Caenorhabditis elegans: one gene and its partners. The protein of the gene in region 1 interacts with the protein of each later gene in a pairwise test. Each region holds a gene or a part of one and is shown on either strand. Other genes may lie near its edges. The genes, in order: lec-3, hsp-43, F26F2.3 and ZK666.8.

Region 1 (6,429 bases):
ATGAGTATAATAAGATTCTACCATTTTCTTAACCTCTTAATTTTGTGTCGACCGAAGCCACTCCAGATAATCGATTTTTAAAATTTTATAACCAAATTGATCTATACATTTAAAAAAACAAGTTCGGTGGAAATGATGCATGCACAAAAAATACACATATATTCTAGGGTGTATCAGAAAGGGGGAGTTGTGAACATTCAAAACCTACACTTGATCTCAGCGTTTTTTCTCGCTGCCACTTTTCGAATATGATCTGGAAACGGAGTGAGTGTGTGTGTGTGTGTGTGGGATCACCTGACACAGATTCACTGTCTATTTGAGTGAGTGAAGGGCAAGGCAATGAGCACGGATCAATCATTTTCTCGGCTCACCACCATCATCCCTCACACATGCCGAAAGGGTAAACATCATCAAAAAGAAATCAAGAAAAAGAAGCTTGAAGGAAGTAAGAAGAAACGGGAAAATGTGAAGCCAAAAGCAAGCCAATTTCCTGATGTCTGAAAGCTAGAGCTTCTGGGTCCCATTGGGCTCCCTCTATTCATGTCACCCCGGTTAAACCCATTATGTGGATGGAGAAGATGGAAAGAAGCGCCAATTTTTTATAGCTCATACGCTTGATCGAGCCTTATGTATATCTCGGGCGGAAACTTTGTTTTTTCTGTGTGTTTATGTATGTGTTTTAATGGTTTTAGTTCCTATAATAGTCAGAAGCTCGAACATCAAATGACCTACCTTTCCCTCGTCGAAACGGATGGAAAGATGAAGAGGCACGTCGTTGCCGGAGAAATCTGGAGAATCCTTGTGGAGATTAATGTTGAACCTGCAAGTTTCTTCGGGTTAGAATTCGAATGAATATTGTCAAAATCTCGATTACCTCTTGGACTCATCGATAGTCTTTCCACGAATGATCAGAGTTTGTCCGGGCTCGATGCGCTCGGTGAGCTTGGAACGGTATGGGATGTTCTGAAATAATACGAAATATTAACTTGAGTTGTTGGAATTTGTTTTTGAGCTATTCCCGAAATTCTCGGTTTCACAAAAAACATCGGGAGCCACTCAAAAACTTGATGGTTAGATTGGACATCACTGGTTGAAATTTAAACTGAAAAACTGAAAAAAAGAGAAACTGAAACTGACTGAACTGACACAAAACTGGACAAACTAGAACTAAAGTTCACTGCAAGAAAAAGCACTGCACAGAATTTCAGATTTTCACGGTCCTACAAGAAGACGATGAAAATCTGCACCCAGAACCCCCAATAAAAGTCCTACGATATATTTGGCACAGTGCCAAACCGACGGCATATCATCTCCAATCGTTTCGTAGCAAGTTCCCAGTGGGTAGCACGATGAGGTGCTCGTCGAGCAAGAGCTGGATGTCGAGCAACTCGGCAGACACGGCGGCTGCTCTTTTTGGTTCTTTTTCTGATATTGCTGAAGCCACGTTTTGGGACTCAGTTGACCATGGTCACCAAGTCCCAAATTAAGATTCTTGATCGACAACAGTTTGGCGGATTAGACGAAGGGAGCTTCGGGTAGAAGATAGAACAAGTGGGGGTGACAAAGTGAAGCAGCAACTAGGCTTCAAGAGTAGATGCTGGGGCGGGCGGTGGCTCAACGAAGGGAAGGGAGCCACCAAAATGTGGGCGTGGCCTATTTCTCAAGGGGAAGAGGCTACTATTGTTTTGACACTTGGCCACTTGCCAGCTGGATTGAAGTTGGAAAACGAAAGAAAAATACACATAAAGTGTGATGTGACTTTTTGTTGAAAAAAACGTTTTTTGGAAAGTTGAGTTGAGAGTAAAGTTCTCATGTCAACTTTCATGAATCTTGGCAGAATACAGCTATACGTCACTATTTGTGGCGCAAAGTTCAAAAGTTTAAATCAGCTACCAACTAGGTTCAAAATGTTCATGGCGTTAGAGCAAGATAGAAGAAAGTTATGTAAGTTGTTCATAAATTATATTATCCAGTTGTGTAACAATCCGATTTTTTGAGGCAAAATAACGGTAAATGGTCTCGACGCGATCGAAAAATTTTCACTTGCGCATTTAAAGAGTTCGTTCCGCAATTTTTATCGACTTTGCTCTTAAAATTTGGCAGTTAAGGAGAAAATAGCATTAAGAACAGGAAGCCGAAACTATTAAACTTTTAATGACGCATATTCCATTGCTCAGAAAATTTTCAGTCGTGTCGAGGCGTAATTTTTGACCAAAAATGAAATTGTTTCGCAACTTGGTAATAGGCAGTTGCTAACAATCATGGGGTTCGTTTGTGATTATTAATAATAGTTCAAAAACTGTTTCCAGATTTCCAAATGCCCGCTGCAAAAACCTAGTTCATGCTCATGGGCTAATAAATATAAAATTATTCAATTCCAACAAATTCTCACTTTTTCTTGTTGCCAATAGAGCGCAGATTCTGCCACCCACAATGAAAAACTGACACTAATCTTGAAATAGGAGAAAATAAACAAAAAGAAGAGGGGGAAATCCTCCTTGTCTTTTCTTTTCCTGCTCAATTTTTCTCTGCCTGATATTGGATTACACCCGGAATTTCCGTTTCGCATCTGATTTTGACTTTGTTGCAACAAGTTGCACACACACACACCGGATTAAAGCCTAAAGTTTCCCGGAGCACAGAGCATAAAACAATTTGTCTACGTCAAATAAATTTTTGGAGAAAAAGAAAAATGAGCATGAATCAAAGGGTAAACTAACAAAAGGGGGAGTGAGAAATCTAAGCGAGTAAGAGAGCAAAAGGACATAAAATGTTTATGGAAATAAGGGGAGGCGGATGTGTATGTCTATCTGTGTCAGTTTTGGCTTCAGTTAAAAAAAGAAAAGTTGAAGCAAAAATATTTGAATTAATTTGAATTTCCACCGACTCAATTGTACTTTTTCTGCAAAAGAGGGGGAAGATTGTGCTAACGGTTCGTGCACATAAAGGCTTTTAGATTTATGACGTGGTTCCTATGAGCCCCGGGTCACATAACCTAACAAGAGGAGGATAAGCTCCTATGGGAGCTCGGCTCGAACTAAAAATAGCAACTTGAACTGGGAAGTGGATATTTTGAGAAAAAAAAGTTTAAAATGAAGTGAAGATTTGTTTGAAAGTGGAGAATATTAGAATGTATGGAGGGTGTAAACATCGCATAGCATGTTTTTTTTTCCAATTACAGTTCATATTCTATTTGCAGCTTTTTGTTCTACTTTGACAGCGAAATAAGTATTCCAGCACAAAACAAACTTTGAAGCTCATATATCTCCCTAAAAATATCACTGAAATTTTTATAATTTCACAATCAGACAAAAAAAAACATGTTTTCAATTTACAATGTGTTCTTTGTAACTTCTTTACAATTCATAAGCTAGCTGAAATTTCTTCTTATTACTCCCATTCTTTCTATTTACATAATTTCCAGAAATGCTTCAAGCGTACATTTTCAGACCAAGCTTTCTCCACTTATGAAAATTCAATCTTTGATGTCCTTTTTACCACCACCCCCACACTAAATTACAATTGTCTCTTGTTCGAGCACATAAAAAGCTCCATCGTGCTTCTTCAAGATTCAAACCTCAATTTTATGGTTCACCAAGTCGGCTATTTGTGTTAATAAGGGGGTGGCATTTCCGAGAAGACTGTAATGGGGTAGAACAGAACAACACGCAATGTTTTTTGTGTTAGAATTTCCAAATTAGGAGGAAACTGTCATTTTTGAAACTCAAAAATGAAACAAAAAACAGAATCACATGCACACAAAAAAAACAAAAACCGGAAAGATTGCATGATCGAAAAAAAAAACTTACGAAGGATTTCGGCTCGGCCATGATGATCTCTCGAAGATAAACGGGGAGTCGAACGGTGGTCCTGAAAAAATTGGGAATTGAAATATTTTATGATATTTTTCATAGCTGTTAAGGAAAGTGAGAAGTTGTACAGAAGTTGGAAAATTACATAATTATTTGCTCTAAAAAATTTTCGTTTGTACCAACATACCCATGACCTCTCTTTTTCTTTACAGTACCATTAGTAGTAGGTTCTGTAACTGCTAGACTTTTCGATCTTCGTCGAAACATTTTTATAGGAGAGAATAGTTCAAATTTGGCGATGTTCTCCCCTATGTGAGATGTACAATATTTGTGTTGGTTTTGAAGAAGAGGTTATGGCTACGCTGGTATCAAAACTATATTTGAACATCATAAACGTTTTCGAAAGAGTTTCGAGAACTAAAAGGAAGATTAAACAATCCGAGGTTTTGTGTGAAGAAAAATAGTATATATTTGATTGAATTGTTACAGAGAATGGAAGGAAGAAAGAATGTGATAGATTGTAGAAAAAGAATAGGCGGGAAATAAAAGTGTGAGTCATGGAATTATGGGAATGAATTCCCGTGGATCGTTTTGGATGCAGGGAAAATTATAAATGATTTGATTTGGTTGGTTGCGAGAAATGTTATAAAATTATACCAGTTGTTGGAATCTGAATTTTTCATGCAAAAAATGATTTTGGAAGTTGTCAATTTGTCAGAAAGCGGCTGAACCGTAGCTCGAACTATTTTCGATTAGTTTTAAGGTTTTAAAACAGGGATAAAGTGTTATCAAGACTATTACTTCTGAGAATCTGTATGACTTGGAGTTTTACGAGAAATCCTTATTGGGAAAATTTGACAAAGTGGGCATAAAGATTGAGCTTCTAAATTAATCAAGTGAAACAAACTACAAAAAAAAACAAAAATATATAAAATTGAACAACCAAAACTCACATAATTCCAACTAAATTCAAGTTAACACCGACAAGAGTCGAAATATCAGAAACAACACAAGAAATAAAAATCAATCAAAACTGATAAATTGTGAGGTTAACAGGTGGCGAGGGGTTTTTCCCACTGCTGCTGATCTTTTTTATTTACTTCCCGCACGTTTCATTTTTTTGAACTCAGAGACAAAAATTATTGGGTGTGGAAAATGAGATACGCAGGAGGGATAAGGAGAGAGTTGGACAAATAATTATATGTCATTAGATTTTGAAATTAATTTGGATTTCGAAAGTGATTTGGAAAACCTACGTTTTTTTTAGGCAGAGTTAGTATGCTCACGCTAGTAGAAGTGCTTGCTGGAACCATGGTTTACAGTTTAAAAGAAGTGAAAAAATTTCAAAAAGTTTTTACTTTAAACAAAAACGCAATCATCCAGATTGCCGCAAAAAATACAATGTACAGCTTTTTTTACACAAACAATTTTTTCAGAAAAATCCAGATGCAAATTTGCAAGAGAACTGTAAAAACTGCACATTTCAGTCACTATTTATACCAACTGTATACATATAGTTGGTGAGAAGAAAAGAGAAAGACAAAAAATATATATACAACATAATGTATCTTCTCACTTTTTTTGCAATTTCTTTCCTAGCTACTACTCCACCTCTTCCTCCTACTCTTCTATCCTTGCTCTCCGATCACTCATTTGCCTCTTTTTCATGCTTTTCTTTTCCATCACTCAAAAATTTCAAAAAAAAAAACGTTAACGAAGAACATATGACTCAATTGAGGTCTTGGATAGTGAGTGAGAAAAGATATCCGATATGTTGCAGTTGTCGTTTTTTTTTTTCTTTTAGGTTTTAATTTCTAAAGGAAAAAACTCTTACGTTTTTCACATTTTTCGATGTTTCTGAATTTTAAAAACTAGAGTGTGATAGTAGAATTTCAGCGGGAAGGTTGAAAATGAACAATAGAAAAGAAAAATAATTGAATGTGATTAACAGAAAAAGAAAGAAAAATACATAAAAACCAAGTATAAGCATTTTGAGACAATGACTCACTACAACTTATTTATTATTTTCTATTCCAATATTTTGAAATTTAGTAGATTTTTTTTTCCGAATTTTAAAATAAACAACAATCAGGGATCGACTTTTGCTATTTGGCCTCGAAAAAAACTCGGTCATCGATTTATATTTGATATTTTATTCTTAAACTTGAAGATCTTTCAAAATTTTAAAAATTTTGGCCGAGCCGATTCAAGGAAGGAGTCTATCTAATTGGCATTTTGCCAAATTTGAAAAAAAAAACGGTGAAAATTTCCAACGGTTTCAATTCAGTAAAATCTAGAAATTTGGAACTGAATCTAAAAAATTCAAAATCCTGTTTCTGGAAATTGAGGTGACGTTGAGAAGTTAAAATTACTAAAAAATTCGCACAGTCGTAAAATGACAAAGAAAACGGAACACACTCAACATGTTCAGTGTCATCGGTTTCTTGAAAAAAGCCTAGCAGTATAAGTGTCACTTTTGCCAACTATTTCCAACATTTCAAAAAGCAGAAGAAGCAGAAAAGCTCATAAAATTCCGACGAAAACTCGCTTCAGAACGACAAAATAGGCCCCCCATGTTTCACATAAATATTTTCAGGGCGTTTCGTGCCTGAAAACC
Region 2 (6,284 bases), on another chromosome or scaffold:
CCAAGCCAAAAATTTATCCAATTTTGAATAACACAAACAATTACAGTCCACTTTGTCACAACTATGTAATATGATGATTGGAAAATAATTTCTTCAGACAATTTTTGAGTAGTTCATCAAACTTGTCACAAAAATTCCTTTTTTGGAAGATTTTTTGACAACCGGAACAACCACGATATTGTAAATTTTCATGTGTTTCAAACATGTATTCTTTCAGTTTTGAACTAGCTACAAGAAACGTTGTGACTTTTGACCCGAAGTTTTATTTCAAAAAAAAACAAGAGGATATTTGGGAAAGTAATCAATTTTAAAATTTTAATAGAATTAAATTAATCTTACATTATTCATTTATTTATAGCTTTGGATGCCGGAAAAAGTTTTAGCTAGATTAATGTGAAGATGCACCGCAATTAAAGACGCACTTTGAATAGAGGGAGCAACACTTACGGGAAAAAACAAAAGTTTGATGAATCTAGAAATGAGTGTATTGTTAATGATTGAAGTATTTTACCAGTTTTTATGTTAAACCTGAATACACTTTTTGAAAATAGTTGGCGTAGACATCTTTCATTCATTTAAAATTTAATTTTAAAAAATTACCAATGTAGGTATTAAATTATAATGAATGCAGCTTTGTATTGAAACATTTGAAACAAAGACAAAATTCAAATTTTAAAAATTTACGTACAAAACTACATTTAATATTTGCACAACTATATTATTAAATTTTTAAATACTGAAATACAAGGAAATCAGTAATTTTTTAATACTGGTGTATAAAAGTTTTTTTCCAATCTAGAGTGAGAAGTTTCATCAGAAATACAATATACATACATGTTCACGTTTTTTGAAGTTTTTATGCATAAATTATTAATAACATTTAAATTTGTGGAAATTAAAAATTGGTTGGAACTAGCAATTCTCAAAATCATTTTTAAAATCATGAAATTCCTAAGCTTTCCGCGAAAAAACCTCAAACCATTTTTTACCCAAAATTAGTCATAACCAACAGTATTTGAATTTTTCACCCTTACTATTTCCTTCATAACTGTGTATTTTACTCACGCACAGGCAAACACTACTCTGAAAAGCAAACTGAACTCACACAACCGCCGTCACCACCCAGTTTTGGACAAATTTAGGTTTCAATTACAGTATTGGTTTAGCAAAAACCACGGAAAATGCGTCGAATGGATTAAAATTGCTTTTTCCCCGTTTTTTCTCCCAAAATCAAGCGTGGGCTGAGTGACAGAAAAATTATTCAGAATTTTTTAGAGTGCAGTGCGGAAATGATTTATGGTGCTTCAAAAAGAATTATAGGCAGAATGATTGAAAAATAGGAAAAAGTCAATTTTCGTTTCTCACAGAACAAACTATGAATGGATATTCAATCTCAACCAATTTTTTTGCAGTAAACGCAGTCAACCAGTTTCAAAAATTCCTCTAATGCGAAAAAATGTAATGTATTTCAATATCGTTTATGACAACACATAGAATGACTGTTCAGAGCGTTCCAAAAAAACTTCTGTAGGCGTTGTTCTATTAGACAAATGAGACCAAAAATGGTTCATAAAAAGCCGGTTTCGAAATATTTTCGAAATAATTGCAAAACTGTTGGAATAGTCCAGAAAGGGCGTATTCCAATCCATGTGATCACCCTATCCCTTTTTTCTTGTCGTCGTTCCTCCACTGATTAAATATCACATTGATCATCATCGTCCAACGTGAAGAAAAGGCGGGAGCGACAAAATGGAACTGCCTATGCCTCTCTCTGTCAATTGGTTCTGACTCATCTGAAATAGGGTAACTTTGACCGGCGGCCAACGCCCTTCTCTTTTCAAAATGGGTATATAACAACGCCAATGTCAATCGAATATTCAGAGCACACGACTCAGCTGTCATATTTTTTTGAGAAAAAGTGTTTTTATCTGAAATTTTCAATTTTCCGTTTTCAAACTTAAGTGACCCCTTCCGGTGAACTTTTTTGCCAACCGTCTTTGATGATTTCCATTCCGACCTCCGGTGCCCCCAAAATAACAGTGTTGACAGAGAAACACAGTCAACATTGGCAGACCTCCTTTTGATTGCGCCCCTCTTTTCGCATTCTAACTCTGTTCACGTGGTATTTACCAAAAAAGTCGTCGGTGGGGTCGGCGAAGATTCGAGACGAAGGTGAGAGCGGTTAAAACCACGCCCAAAACTCTCCAACCTTTCCATGCAAGACAGAACTTATAAAAGCTTGCAAGATTTGTGTTCCGGCTTTTAGAGGTTTTCACTTTTTGTTCACCGATTCTTAACTTCCATTAAAAATTAAAACTATGATAGCGCACATTGTGTGACATTGTGTTTTGGAACAAAGGTTAATAGTTATTAGGTTTTATGTTAAACTGTGTGTTTTTGTACTTCATCGTTTCATTGCTGCCGTTCCCCATAACCGGAATAACAATTATTATTTTACAGAAGTACCACACCCCCAGTTCAAAAAATGACTCTTGCAACCCGTCATGCCGATTTCACTCGTGACAAACTCTGGAAAGAGAACGACCTGTGGCTCGACGATTTCCGTGATTGGCCTCTTGATTGGCCAAAACCAAGGGACTTTTTCCACCGGGTATCCAATTCATTGGGGGCGGCTTATTAGTTTCCGATAGTCAATTGTTAGAAATAGGCATAGGGGGCTATTCATCCGCGACCTACCTCTACACGCTCTTCACTCTGGCTACTATTATATTTTGCCAGGCGTTTTACTGTTCAAATCCGGTCGTCGTCGTTGGTCTACTTGACAGCCCTACTCGAATTTACGTACATATACACCATTAAGAGAGTCAAATCTCACTGCTTTCCCCTTCTTGGTTTATTTGTTCCATGCCAACTGAAATTTGGCAGTTTTCACCAGTTTCCCCTAAATTTTCCTCAAATTCGAATGCTCTCTCCTTTTCAATCTGAACAAACATTTTGTTTTTTTTATCATTTGAAAAAAAAGTGAAAAGAGAGGAAATCGGCAGCCAATTTCTCCATCGATGAATCAGAATATTTTGTGAATCATTTTTTTTTTTGCATTTCAGTTCTCCCGTGACGTCGACAGTTGGTGGAAGGATTGGCCAACCGATTGGCCCCGTATGGACGCCGTCATGCCAAGAGTAATAATTCAAATCGCATGAACAGAAACACATCGAAACTTTTTTGCAGTTTTCCAGTCAACTTGATCGCATGGATCGCAACTGGAGGAGTGATCCATACTGGATGAATCTCTACCCAAGATGGGCTGAGCCAATCTTCAAGGAGGGAATTGACGTAAACTCCAATGTGGTTAATGATGATCGTAGATTTGCCGTTGACATGGATTGCTATCAATTCCGTCCTGAAGAAATTCAAGTGAAAACTCTTGATGATACTCTGATGATTGAGGGAAGACATGAGGATATTCGTGATAAAGATAACTTCACCAAAATGTACTTTGTCAGAAAGTACCAACTTCCAAGAGACGTAGACTTCAACTCGATTCAAAGTAGTATTGATGCCAAAGGACGTCTTCAAGTTGAGGCTGGAAAATTCAACAACATGGCATTGCAAGGTCGCGAGCGTATGATCCCAATCGAAGGAGCCGGGCACCATTCACCAAGATTTGAAAATGGAACACTCCGTTCGCAACGAGGACCAAACTCGCCAATTCATGTCCAGACTGAGCACGACGGGAGGAGCGTGTCTAGCAGAAGTGGATCGCGATTGAATGATAGTCCAGGATCGAGAGACGTGTATTCTTCTCATTCTTACAGGTAATCCTACAGATAATGATAGTGAGTATCTGAAAATAAAAATTTTCAGCTACCACCGCAGCGACTCTCGCAATCGTCTCTCCCCAAATGATGTTAACATCACTAGAAATGACAACCGAACATATAGCCCAGTCACTCCTCGTATCACAACAAGTGGTAAGTTTTTGAAAATACATAGTTAATTCAAATTTTCCAACTTTCCAAAACACTGCTTTCTGTCGTGTTCTCTTTCCACATTTCATTTTTCTTTCTATTTCTCTTTTCTATCTAGATCCCATAATTACCTTCAGAGCGGACAGTAACACCGGAACAGCGGTCGCCGGGTCGAAAAGCGTTCGAAACCATTCGAAACAATTTTGAGCGAGGTCATTTTTGCAATTTCGCACATCGCGTTTCTCTTTTTTAGTTAATTTACACACATTTCACACGAATTACTTCCCACTTCCCTCATCACAATTAGAGTAAACTTCCAACAGTTTACTGACAATACTTTGGATTTTCTCATCAATCACAAATTAACTACAACATTAACATGTTGCGCCTTTGGTCAAAAATGATCGTTAATGACACATTATTTGTTGAAAACTTGGATTTTGAAAATTCGAAAGTTTTAAAATTGGAATTTTAGGGTCATATAATACTGCTGGAAATGCAAATCTTCACGAGGAGCGTTCAAGCTCTCGCGCTCAGTCTCATCGCTCAGAAAGTCGCAATGGAGGTGAGTTTTCGCTATACATTGAGGGTTCTTCAATCAACTGAAGTGGTAAAATTTTTCAGGATACCGGGTCGAGTCACCAGTGAGCACTACAACTGGAATTCTTCGTAATGGAAACTCGGACTCACCAAACTCAACTCAACGCGAGTACCGATCAATTCAAATTCTCCGCAAGACATATTAATTGGACCAAAAACCTTATGCTTTTACTCATACCCGTTCTCCTTCAAAACTTCACAAAATTCTGCCTACAGCTTTTAAAACAAAACAATATATTTTCTGATGCTTCCATATACTCTATTCACAGCTTTTCCACTTTCAAATGTACACCTACTATTATACATAAACATTTATGCTTTTTGTTTACTAATTTTTAGTACGATTTTGTTGGTTTCAAATCTAGAACTTGAGGTGAGAAAAATATGATGATATAGAAAAGATGAAAAGAAAAATGATGGAGCCACAAAAAAAAACAACAAAATACAATCATTTCTCACTTTGATAATACAATCCATTCGACGCTTCTTTTCTATCGATCATGTCCCGTTATCCACCGCTGGTCACCAAAAAAGAAATCATCTACCGGCGTTTTATTGATGATGTGAGTTTAGTCTTAAAAACTAAAGAAGTTATTATTAAAATCGAATTAAAAACAACGATAATTTTCAGATATATATATATATATATATATATATATATTTAAAATGCAATTTAGAATAATAACTTTTTGATAATTGATTGCAAAAATTAAATTTTGACGAAAATTCTAAAACTCCAGTTATTCAAAGTACCAGAAACAATTTTTATTTGTAGCATAATGAACGTTTCGACAATATCGTGAGAAACCCTACATCATATCCTCCAAGAGCTCCAAAACCAGAACGTCCGCAAAATTTGGTTGTAAGTCACAACTATCACTCTGACGTGGAAGCTGAGGTGAGCATTACTCTGCAAAAAATTTGTTTCAACATTTTTGTTTCAGTACCAACTCTCAAAAATCAACAAAAAGTTGGATCGTATTATTGAAATTCTTCGGAGCCCATCGACCAAGGTATGTGCACAAACACAGTTGTATTGTTCTTGCACTAAACCGTCCGAAATGCTTACTTTTTATTCTTTCTTTCTTCTTTTTTTGAAACTTTTCATTCAGAAAACTTCCCAAGAGCCTCCAATCATTGACGTCGCACGCCAGGAGCAAACACGTCAATACAAGGATATTTGCGATAGGCTCGACAAATTGGAGGCTGAGTTAACTGTAAACATACATTGGAAAACAAACCAGAATACCAGATGTTTTAGGGTAAAACTCAGTTTGTTGCGCCTCTCCAAAATGAAATTTCATTATTGACAAATAAAGTTCACGAATTGGCCCAAATACAAGAGGGTTTAAGAGTGAAGCTAGTTTCGAGCAACATTGCAGGAGAAGACATCGATGAACTTTTGGTATGAAAGATGTTAAAAGGAAATCTTCAAAAAAAAACTTTTTTTCAGAAAGTCATCAATGAGACCAGAAGAGATATGGAAGAGAAAATTGGGAATATCAAGCAACTGAGTGACGGAAATTACATTCACCTGGAAGATAAAGTATGCCAAATCATATAGAACCCAACCATAAAACTTGTTTCCAGCTTGATGGATATCTTCGCAACCAGCATGGCATTCAACTCCAGGTAGACCATCTAATGCAGCTTCTGACTCATAGCTCTCGTCCGGCATCTGCTATTGGCTCAAGACCCGGTTCAGCTGCGGAAAAGATGAGGTAAATGATTGAATATATGCATTTATATGTACAT
Region 3 (4,980 bases), on another chromosome or scaffold:
GTCAAGGAAAAGTTTTGAAAGAAATGTGCTCTTGAAAGTGAATTTTCATATTCCTCAGATTTCATGACGCCTCGCGGTTAGTTTTTTGACAGGTTATGTTTCTTAGTTCTATAATTTTTATTGAAATGCACTTTCTTCCGTATGAGGAATTGTGTTATCTTTCAATAACTTGGAGAAATATTTCAGTTTATAGGAATTATCTTATCAGTTCAGTATTAATAGAATGTCGGTAATGCTAACTGTGTATTTTGCTGTGATATGAATTGTTTGGAGTTCAAAGAGATGTAAATTTATTTAAGGACATAAGGAAACAGAGATTAACATGAATTCATGCCTCAATATGATGGGAGTTATGAGAACTTGATATGATTTTTCAAACTGACGGCAAATATTTTGTTGACCACAATATATTGGTACAAGTAGCACATTATGCTTACATTAGGCTGGGCTTGATTGCTGTTTAAAAACACACTGAAGACGTTTATTGTATAATTTTGATTTTATTTTTGAACGTGGCAAACCTTTCTTGCACCATATTATACTTTAAAAAAATCACTAATTTCGATATCTCCCAAATTTACGTATTCAAAGGTTTCATAGGAAACCGTCAAATTTGCTTTTTATGCATGCCATTTAAACGCTATTTGTTTGTTCAATCAGAGTAAAACATTTGATTTGTTTTATTATCCGCCATTTACAGACAATTGTTCAGTATTCAGTGCAAAACCAGTTTAAAAACTCACTCTCTCGCTCATGAGAGACGCAGAGACAGATTATTACTTTTTTAAATGTAATTTTTTTTTAATTGAGAGAGGCCGTGTTACACAAGATTAAAAAACACGCCAAAACTGTGTTTATTTTAAAAATAACGAGATAGATATAGGTAGTATATAGCTAATATAGCTAACTTTAAGAAAACTTGATTAAAACAAAAATGTAATAGATGAGATTTAAAATTGCAATAGATAAAGAACACCCAAAACAATTGTCTCCCTTGTTTTCTTCTTCTGATTTTAATGGAAATGTCTACGGGACTCTCCTCCCTTTGTGCTTCGGCCGAATTGTCAAAGACGTAATAATAATAATCATAATAATAATAATAATTGATTTATTATTTTTTCCTATTTGAAGTATGAACAACATTGAATGAACAATTATTACAATTGAAAATAAAAATATGATAACCAGCATTGACTTCTTTGAGATTATTTTCACTTCGAATCGCGTTTCGATCATCTCTTGCCTGGTCGGACAATCTTGCATTGTAGTTCATCTCCATCATTCGCTGAAATATAATACTTGTGGTAAATTATTAATTATTGATTATTAGGTAAAGTATTAAACATTATTAATTAATAGAAAAAATAAATTTAAAAACCTTCATGAAATCATGTTGCCGGGAATTTTGCTTATCCAGCATTTCCGCCATCCGCAGTGTATTGTTGTCGCTCATTGTTTGGGTGTTGGAATTGTTTTCTGAATTATGCTTTACATTGAAATGAATATAACAAAATTCCGTTTAATTGTTTAAAAAAACACAATTTTTAGTAACCATCATTTAAATATAAAGTTTTAGTGTTTTACTAGAACATGTTGCAGGAAAATTAATGATACAAATGGGGTAAAAAATAAAGAGAATATAATGCTCCCTTGAGTGCAAGCTTCTTTTATACTGAGAGGACACATCAATTCCTCATGAATAATCAAAATATTGCTAACAATTAATTCCTCCTGTCAAGGAAAAGTTTTGAAAGAAATGTGCTCTTGAAAGTTAATTTTCATGTTCCTCAGATTTCATGACGCTTCGCGGTTAGTTTTTTGACAGGTTATGTTTCTTAGTTCTATAATTTTATTGAAATGCACTTTCTTCCGTATGAGGAATTGTGTTATCTTTCAATAATGTGGAGCAATATTTTTATTTATAAGGAATGCTCTTATCAGTTTAGTATAAATTGAAGAGCGGAGACCACGAATGTTCAGTTGTCTTACTTTCATTTATTTTTTTGAATTTTTCTCCGGCCAAAAGTATTTAACAAATAAAAGTTCTCTTGAAAGTTAATTTTCATATTCCTCAGTTTTCTTTTTCTATTTTTATAATTTTATTGGAAAATACTTTCCGTCCTGTTCCTAGCCCGTATAAGAACCTGTGTTATCTTCCAATAATTTGGAGCAATACTCCAGTTTATGAGGAATTTTCTTATCAGTATTAATAGAATGTCGGTGATCAGGAACGTTTAATTTTCTTACTGGCTAACGATTTTCAAAACTTAATTATAAATTGCAAGATTTTTTCACATTTTCTTTTTCAAGGTTTTTAAATTTTCAAACAAAGAATGCAAAACCTCAGTTTGTTTGAAAATTTTTGAAAGTGCTGGTTTTCAGTGTTCACAAACTTTGCCGCTCGCCAATATTTTCCAATTTTACCAATCGCCAAACTTGTCGTTCAGCAGTCACCCCTGTTCCTATCAACGCTGTTTTAGATAACAATGGAGCAAAACCATGATTCAAGAGGGACGGATCGCATAAGATTGTCCAATGTGCAGCAAAGAGATGGAAGTGTCAGTCATTTTTACCAGCATCAAGAAGGAACGGATATTCAGGTGCAAGTAAGAAGAGGCAGCGCAAAGTTGGATGGTCAGCGTGTACCTTTTCATAAACTCACAATAACCCCCGACATTCCTTATCGTGACCTCGGATTACGTCTAAAAGTAACTGGCAACAATGGACAGGGCATCTACCTTCGTAATGTTGAAACAAGCAGACATTCTGACCAAACCAGAAGCTCAGGAAGAGCACATACAGATGACCAGCGTTATTCGTTCACAATACCATCATACTATCCTTACCCTACCGGAGTATGTCTGAAAATTCCATACTCTGCCAAAGCTAAGAATGTTCAAATCAAGGTATTTGTAATAGTTAGAATGTAATTTTAATGGTATTCGTTTCAGATGAGAAGGAGTAAATCTCACAACTACAGAGAAGCTGATATAGTGGGACTCAATACGCCGAATCAACACATTGAAGCTCGTCGATTGAGCTTTGAGGAGTCTCAGCGAAGACTGCAAGATGAAGCTAGAATAGCCGAGCAAAGAAGATGGGAAAACACGCGGAGACAAAACGACCAAAGCATCAGAAATGTTTATGGGAGAGAATATGAAGCTGATAGCAGAAATAGTGGTGGGCACCATGAACGAAATGAGCAGCGGAGGGTAAGAAACAATTCGAGAATAGCCTCATAAAATTCTGTTAGCATCAAGGTCAGCCTTAAAAAAATCAGCCTAAATCTGATGTTTCAGTTTTTTCGACAAATCGTGTTTCTCTATTTTCTGAACAAATAACAATCTCATCAACAATCTTAACATTTCAATTTTTGGAACGACATTTAAATATAACTTTCCAGGAAAGGGAATGCATTATGGATCGGGAACCACGTTATACAAACGGATTCGATCAAATTGAAGTGAGTTTCATAAAATTGATATAATTATTGAAATAATTGTTAAGAGAACTATGAGAAATAACCGTGCGGCATTGGAGGCACAACACGCGGAAAGTGATGCACAGAGGAGGATGAGAGAAGAAGAAATCAAGAACACTTTTATTGGAAGATTTTAGTAAATATAAATCAATAAATAACCTTTTCTGGACTTTTTTCCTCTTTTTGATCTATTTTCTGTGTAGTTTTCATATGAGAGAATACGATTTTTAAATGAGAATAAAGAGGCAGTAATTCTAACAGTATATTTTTTGTGATATGGATTGCTTAGAGTTCAATATCTAGCAACTGCACGGTAGCACAGAAACTAGATGGATTGGTTCATGATACTCAGTCTGGAAATCTATATTGGCTACTATCTCGAAAACCATCACAAAATCGATTTTTCGATGCCTATCTTTATTTGTGATGAATTTTCGATTTTGTACTTCCTGGCCAAGTTATGCACGTTTATTCGGTGGAGCGCGTTTGCACCCATCTAGCAACTGAACCACCGTGACTGAACCACCGTGCGGCCGACACATCTGTGGTTCCGCGCCGCCCTACATTTCACGCCATTCAGATAAATGCGGCGACCTCATGGGAGTCATCATTCATAGAAAACCGTTGAATTTTTATGCCTTCAAACGATACTTCTTTGTTCAATCATTGCAAAACATATCTTTCCGATTTTATTCACTATCCGCCATTTACGGGCAATTTTTTTCCGTATTAAGTGCAAAATCGGTTTAAAAAACTCACAATCTCCCTCATATTGCGTTTTTTGTTTAACTTTATGAAATTAAGATAGACCGTATTACAATAGATTAAAAAAAAACGAAAAAAATAGATTTAGAGCCGCAAACAGTTGCCCGGCTTATTTTCATCTTCTGATTTTAATGGAAATGTCCACGGGACTCTCTTTCTTTTGTGCTTCGACCAACTTGTTGTAGACTTCTTTGAGATTATTCTCACTTCGAATCGCGTTTCGATCATCTCTTGCCTGGTCGGACAATCTTGCACTGTTGTTCATCTCCATCATGAACTAAAATAGAACTGTTGATTTACAGAAAACAATTTAAAAAACTCGACCTTCATGAAATCATTTTGCTGGGAGTTTTGCTTATCCAGCATCTCCGCCATACGCAGTGTATTGTTGTCACTCATAGTGTTGGGTTTGGAATAGTCCTCTGAAAATGTTTTCTCATTTTAAGAAATATAATAATCCCCAGAAAAATTGAAAGGCATCATCGAAAAAATTCAGAGCACATATCTAGATTAAAATATTTAATATTAAAAAAACAATAAAATATAAAAAATGAGAAGCAAATCAGATAGAATATGATGCTCCTTCGACTGCAATCTTTTTTATACAAAAAATGGCATAGCAATTCCTTATAAAAGTAAAAAAATTGCTAATAATCATTTCGTCCTGTCAAGGAAAAGTTTTGAAAGAAATGTGCTCTTGAAAGTGAATTTTCATATTCCTCAGATTTCATGAC
Region 4 (5,483 bases), 500 kb from region 1:
GGTCAGGAAAAGAGGACGCCCCTCAGATTAAAGATACATCGTCGCGAAATTTTGAAATGGAAGTAAGTAGAAGTAGAATTATTGGGCAAATGGGAAGAGGAGTGGCAGTGCATTTTGAAATGTAGTTTTTAAGCTTACACTCGAAGAATTTGCAAATTTGGCACTACAACCATCATTCCTTTATGGGTATTTAAAAAAGGAAAAATGGTGGTTGCCGAACTATTACCCAGACTTAAAACTTCCTAGAAAAATTCAGAAATCGGAGAAAATTGTCAACTGTCACATCACTATTTTTACCCAGATGCAATTTTTTTCGCGATTTTTCATTCAATAGCTTTCTTTGTTATTAGACAAACTTTTTAGGTTCTACTAAATTTTTGAACACAATTTTATAATAGCTAATGTCAGTTGTAGTGCAAGACAACTACGAAGATCATCCTAGATACATTCTAACCATAAATAAATCGGAAGTGAGCACGTACTGGCACCAATTTCAGATAATTCGTAAACTGCTGATGTTGCATTTTTTTTGTTTGATACGGAACGGTTTTCCAAACAAAGCGAAAAAGATCGAAACATCAACAAACACAAAATATGGGTAAACTTCTGGTTTGCAAAAAAAGGGATTAATACCAGTCAATATGTTGATTTTTTGCAACTGAAGTAAAATATTTGTATTCTTATTATGTTACCAGGCATGCTCCAGACATGCTTCTGAAAGTTTATTTGATTTTTAAAGTTCAAATTTAATTTGTCTTGTTGCTCAATTTTTCATTATTTTTTGTTTTAATTTGGCCTTTCGACTAAAGTAGGTGAAAAAAAAAGAAAAAAAAGGAAACCTAACGAATATTTTGAAAAATGTCTAGCAGATAAAAAAAACAATGTGTCATTTTAAGTAGTTCTTTATTTCTTTCTAATCACTACAAAAATTCATATTTTCCCGCACAAATGTTTATAACTTTTCTTTAAAAAGAGGTCACCAAACATGAAAATTTGATTGAGAATCGGAATACTCAACACTGAATTTTTAAAGTGTTAAACAGCGGATCTTTGAATTTGCCCAAAATCATTCAATGAAAATCATATTCTAAAATAATTTTTATTGTAAACTCATATGGAAATACAAGAAAAATAAGTACTAGGAGCTGTCTTCAGTAGAACGTGGCTTCTCCAACAAGGCGTCTTTGAAGTTTTCTTCCCAATCATACGGATCTGACAACTTTTTCGGAAGGTACAACTTTTTGACGGATGCTTGAAGAGTAGTATACGGAAGTTCAGACATTGGGTCGAGACGTGATACGAGTTGAGAAAATTCAATCAGCTCTTGAGACGATTCATGGAAGTGATCAATTTGGCCATGATGCTGCAAACCACAAAAAGTATTATTAAGATCCAAACATAGCTTCATACCAATTCATCTTTCATTTTCCAGATGGCATCACTGTTTTCAATATTTCTCCACGGAAGCTCTCCAGCCAGCAACTCAATCAATGTGTACAACAAGGACACCATGTCGTCTGTCGGTGTCTGTTCGAGCCGACGATGAACACGAGTAGATACATATCTTTGAGTGCCTCGGAAACCAGCTTTAACCCGATGAGTTCGCCATTCACCATCTGGATCTTTGTATCTACGTACCAGACCAAAGTCGAGAAGCATCAAAACATGACGTGTCTGGAACGAGATAATGGAATCTATTGTGAAAATTTATTGCAAGACCAACTTTGGAAGTGATACCAAAACACATATTTCCTGGCTTAATATCTCTATGGAGATACCCGACGTCGTGTAGATCTCGCAGAGCAGCAATGGCCTGAACGGCGATTCTTCCAACTGATGACTTGCTCAATTTACGTGTGGGACTCATTCGACGAATATCTCCAAGATTGGCACTTAGCAGTTGAAGCACTGAAACGAGGTAATGTTTTTTAAATTTGTTTTTAGACTAAACTTACCAATGAAATTGAAGTTTTCTGTGTGACCGGATCCAAAAATCCAAGGAACATGAGGCTTCCCTTGGAGTTTTACGAGAACTGCTTGTTCCAAAATCATTCGCCTGGCAATTTTGCCTTTTCGTACCAATGGTTCTGCCTTTATTGCCACTTCTTCTGCCAATTTCATGTCGATTGCCAAATAAATTTCGCCATAACCACCTTTACCGATGATTCCTTCAATGTGCCATCGTTTTCTGAATTTCTCATCGATAGGCATCAAAGGAGTAGAAGTGGGGTCTGGGCGTTTCAAACGTGGCACCACACTGAACTGTTTTGTTGGAGATTTAAGACTTCTCGCACTTTTTTCATTGTTTGGTTTTACTATCTGATCTTTACGAACTGTTCGCTTGGATACCGAAGACTCCTTTGTCGACTCCTCTTTACTCATTTTTGCCGAAAACTCAGTAGCCACTGCGGACTTGGCCGATTTTTCAGCTCCCTTCAAAAACAATCTTTAGTCTGAGACTGAAAAAATAAGCGAACAAACCTCAACATGTTTCGGATTCATCATTTATATGAATGCTCACGACTTTGACTTTGATTACAATGTAGAAATGACTAAAATATTTTTGTCTACAGTATTTATTCCGATGATTCCCACGTACTTTTACTAACTTTGAAAGAAAATTCTGAGAGTTCACGGTCACATTAATTTTCTAAATGTGAAGGCCAGTGGAAAAATTATTGCTTATTTATTTATTTATTTATTCATCATGGAAACAAAAAGAATATGATAAGAAAAACATAACCGGTTATGATATTTACACGTGTAGATGAATAAATTAAAATAAACTCGGCCCAACAGAGCGCGAGTTTAAGTGAGAGGGAAAGAGATCAGAATTTAGATATTTGACAATCAACAAGCGAAAGGAATTGTGATGGGGAGAGGAAAAAGCTAGAGTTGCGTACAATGCTATTCCATATTGGCACTACTTGGGAGAAAAAGCTACGACATTTGGGATTTTTTATTTTTAATGAGCATCGGACGACGAGACGAGTTAGCAAGCGTAACAAAGTCACTGCTTTTTGGGAAGTGCGCTGCGCCGGTAAGAATTTTGTATAGAAGCAATAGTTGGGCTCTTAGGCGGAGAGAGCGGGCTGATGAAATTCCTAGAATTTTTAGTCGGTTTTCGTAGGATTTGGAGAAAGCATTGTGTGTTTGTGGAGCATTTTTTATTTTGTATTTAATATTGCAGCGCTGTAGGACCCGTTTAGAAAAGTATTTGAGGGGAGATTCTAGTGTGCTTGATAATTTAGATGTTGGTGGAGGGGAGTATATGACTGATCCGTATTCAAGGATAGGGGAAACGTAGGTCTTGTACATATTTATATAGAATTTAGGGGAAGAAGAGGAGAAACATTTGAGGATTTGTTTAGCGCGTAAGAGGGCAAGAGAAGTGGCTCTGTTTATATGAGGTTGAAACGTTAACTTGGAGATTTTAACATAATAACCCAATTTTTTAATTTAAAAATTTGGTACAGAAATTCATGTTCGATTAGAAAATATCATTTAATTTGTTGAAAACTTCGAAAAAACTTTTGAAAGTTGCAATTTGCAGTTTACAGTGCCGTAAAACTTTTCCCGTTTTTTTTAGGCTTTCATGAAAATTTTAAATACTAAACTATTAGGTAAATAAAGTCACATTAAGATTTAATATATTCACACCAGTGAAACAACTTTTTGATCGCCTATCACAGGCAATATATCATGTTATTCTCTATCGGCAATTCCCAAAAAGGGATCAGGTTTTGTTTGACTGTTTGAAAACATTCAATAAATCAATAGTATTCGAATTTTAACAAGAAAATTACTTATTTTCTTTTTTTCTGTTCGTGTAAACTGATTGCAAAAACTACTGTTTTCAATGCTCTCAAAATTTCAACAACAAATCGAGAAACTCCAAAAAATTTCAAAAGTACAGCCAAGTTTCAGATATGTTTTGCTTTGCCCACGGCAATCATTCTGTTTCTTTTTTTTTAAACTGATTTTCCATATTTAGCATGCATCTTTTGGAAAGTAGTGAGCTTCTCTCCTTTCTTGGTTCTAATATCTTATTCCGTGTGCAGTTCTGAATATGGTAGCTTGAAATTCGATTTGCCTCGTTTCATGTCACATCTTTTTTAATGTATTCCCATTGTTATGCATTTTATTATTTTTCATGCATATCGTTTAACAGTCTCTGTATTTCTCTCGTTCAAACCAAAAAATCTCCGTTCACAACGTGGACTCTCAGAAATCGATCGGAGGCAAAATGGCTACGATTAGCGACTGTACCGTTCTCACTTTTGTGGAACATGTGGAGGACCGAAGGGATTCAATCCAGAGCGGTGAGTGTTTTTTTTTTGGCAGTTGTGATACTGTGCTCTAGAACAAAGAAAAAAAAAGATCTCTCACGAACAAAATACATTTTCGCGATCTGTGAGATTTCTGATGTTCCTGTGTGTGAATTCAAAATTTTTGTTTCTCTCTTGGAAGATGAATTAAGCTATGCAAAACTACATAGACCTTCTCTTATATCTAAATACTTATTTAATAAATTTCAGTGTCTCAACATGTTCGACTCTTCAAGGACAAAGAACAACCAGCCGTATTTTTCAACAAAATCTCCACCGAAAACTTGTGCCTCATACTGACTCTGATGATAATCGGAGCATCTTTTGTTGCGTTGATTGACTTCCCGCAATATTGTATCGAATTAGCCATTGTTTTTCATATCTTCCAAACGCTTTCATGCTTGGCTATTCGTTATCATGTGGAAAACATGCTCATTTGGTTAAGACACGTTGAAATAGTATTATGGTCAACTTGTCTACTCTTCTCAGGAGCAAATCTTATTGCACAATCAATATATCCCAATACAACGCCTCTCTATATTGCATATCTCTTTTTTGGAATATCTATTGCTGGATTGTATAAAGCGTTTTTGGTGAGAAGATTCTACCGCTGGCTCTTGGTTTCACATAATGCATTGATTAATGGACAACTGGACATCCAATAAGCATAATTATTTTTAATTGATTATTTTATAAGTTGGCAATTTATTTATTTATTCATTTATTTGTGAAATTATTACCAATAAAATTGAGTAATGTTTTGAATAAGGTATAAATTTATGTGATGTTAGGGGATAAAATAAAATATTTTAGAACACGAACAATCAAAAGCGGAAGTAAATCTTTCACTCAATTTTAACTAATTAATTTAATTCCCGACGAAAACTATAAAGTTTTGATCTTTGAATTTTCAGTCAAACGAAGATTGTTTTGAAACGAAGTGTATTGTACTTTAACAACAAAATCAATCAAATTAAAATAGTAACGAAGACCCTCTCAACTTTTCTTTCTGAAACAAAACAAGTAATTTATCATTAAAATTTTTTACACCCTGTTAACGCCCAAATGTCTGAAAATATTGTTTGTTTTTGTCATTGAAGTTTTGTGTTTAAGTTTTTAAGTTTATTTGTCACTTTTTCAAGAATTTGTAAAATA

Evidence for each region.
Region 2: the proteins of lec-3 (region 1) and hsp-43 interact in a two-hybrid assay, tested with the Caenorhabditis elegans proteins (one large-scale study listed by BioGRID).
Region 3: the proteins of lec-3 (region 1) and F26F2.3 interact in a two-hybrid assay, tested with the Caenorhabditis elegans proteins (one large-scale study listed by BioGRID).
Region 4: the proteins of lec-3 (region 1) and ZK666.8 interact in a two-hybrid assay, tested with the Caenorhabditis elegans proteins (one large-scale study listed by BioGRID).

What each region holds. Positions count from the first base shown.
Region 1 is NC_003280.10:9,988,810-9,995,238, reverse strand, and holds the start of lec-3 (Galectin), read right to left. Parts: upstream 4,080-6,429; coding exon 4,000-4,079; intron 3,877-3,999; exon of another isoform or gene 3,871-3,876; coding exon 3,810-3,870; intron 2,983-3,809; exon of another isoform or gene 2,902-2,982; intron 2,785-2,901; exon of another isoform or gene 2,664-2,784; intron 1,620-2,663; exon of another isoform or gene 1,306-1,619; coding exon of another isoform or gene 1,273-1,305; intron 1,097-1,272; exon of another isoform or gene 964-1,096; coding exon 875-963; intron 821-874; coding exon 733-820; intron 254-732; coding exon of another isoform or gene 217-253; exon of another isoform or gene 1-216. UniProt on the Caenorhabditis elegans protein: Binds galactose.
Region 2 is NC_003284.9:6,231,718-6,238,001, reverse strand, and holds hsp-43 (SHSP domain-containing protein), read left to right. Parts: upstream 1-2,458; 5' UTR 2,459-2,485; coding exon 2,486-2,611; intron 2,612-3,065; coding exon 3,066-3,140; intron 3,141-3,189; coding exon 3,190-3,776; intron 3,777-3,825; coding exon 3,826-3,932; intron 3,933-4,066; coding exon 4,067-4,141; intron 4,142-4,404; coding exon 4,405-4,494; intron 4,495-4,553; coding exon 4,554-4,675; 3' UTR 4,676-4,851; downstream 4,852-6,284. Other genes in the region: C14F11.4 (AIP3 domain-containing protein), read left to right, coding at 5,030-5,092, 5,305-5,427, 5,474-5,542, 5,642-5,746, 5,791-5,934, 5,983-6,075, 6,120-6,250.
Region 3 is NC_003283.11:20,564,048-20,569,027, reverse strand, and holds F26F2.3 (Transthyretin-like family protein), read left to right. Parts: upstream 1-2,473; 5' UTR 2,474-2,486; coding exon 2,487-2,906; intron 2,907-2,951; coding exon 2,952-3,212; intron 3,213-3,403; coding exon 3,404-3,463; intron 3,464-3,507; coding exon 3,508-3,618; 3' UTR 3,619-3,739; downstream 3,740-4,980. Other genes in the region: F26F2.9 (Transcription termination factor Rho), read right to left, coding at 1,112-1,285, 1,379-1,453; F26F2.13 (DUF305 domain-containing protein), read right to left, coding at 4,362-4,523, 4,571-4,645.
Region 4 is NC_003280.10:10,490,581-10,496,063, forward strand, and holds ZK666.8 (non-specific serine/threonine protein kinase), read right to left. Parts: upstream 2,555-5,483; 5' UTR 2,506-2,554; coding exon 2,482-2,505; intron 2,434-2,481; coding exon 1,956-2,433; intron 1,909-1,955; coding exon 1,724-1,908; intron 1,675-1,723; coding exon 1,411-1,674; intron 1,364-1,410; coding exon 1,139-1,363; 3' UTR 1,082-1,138; downstream 1-1,081. Other genes in the region: ZK666.14 (Transcriptional regulator), read left to right, coding at 4,247-4,322, 4,539-4,993.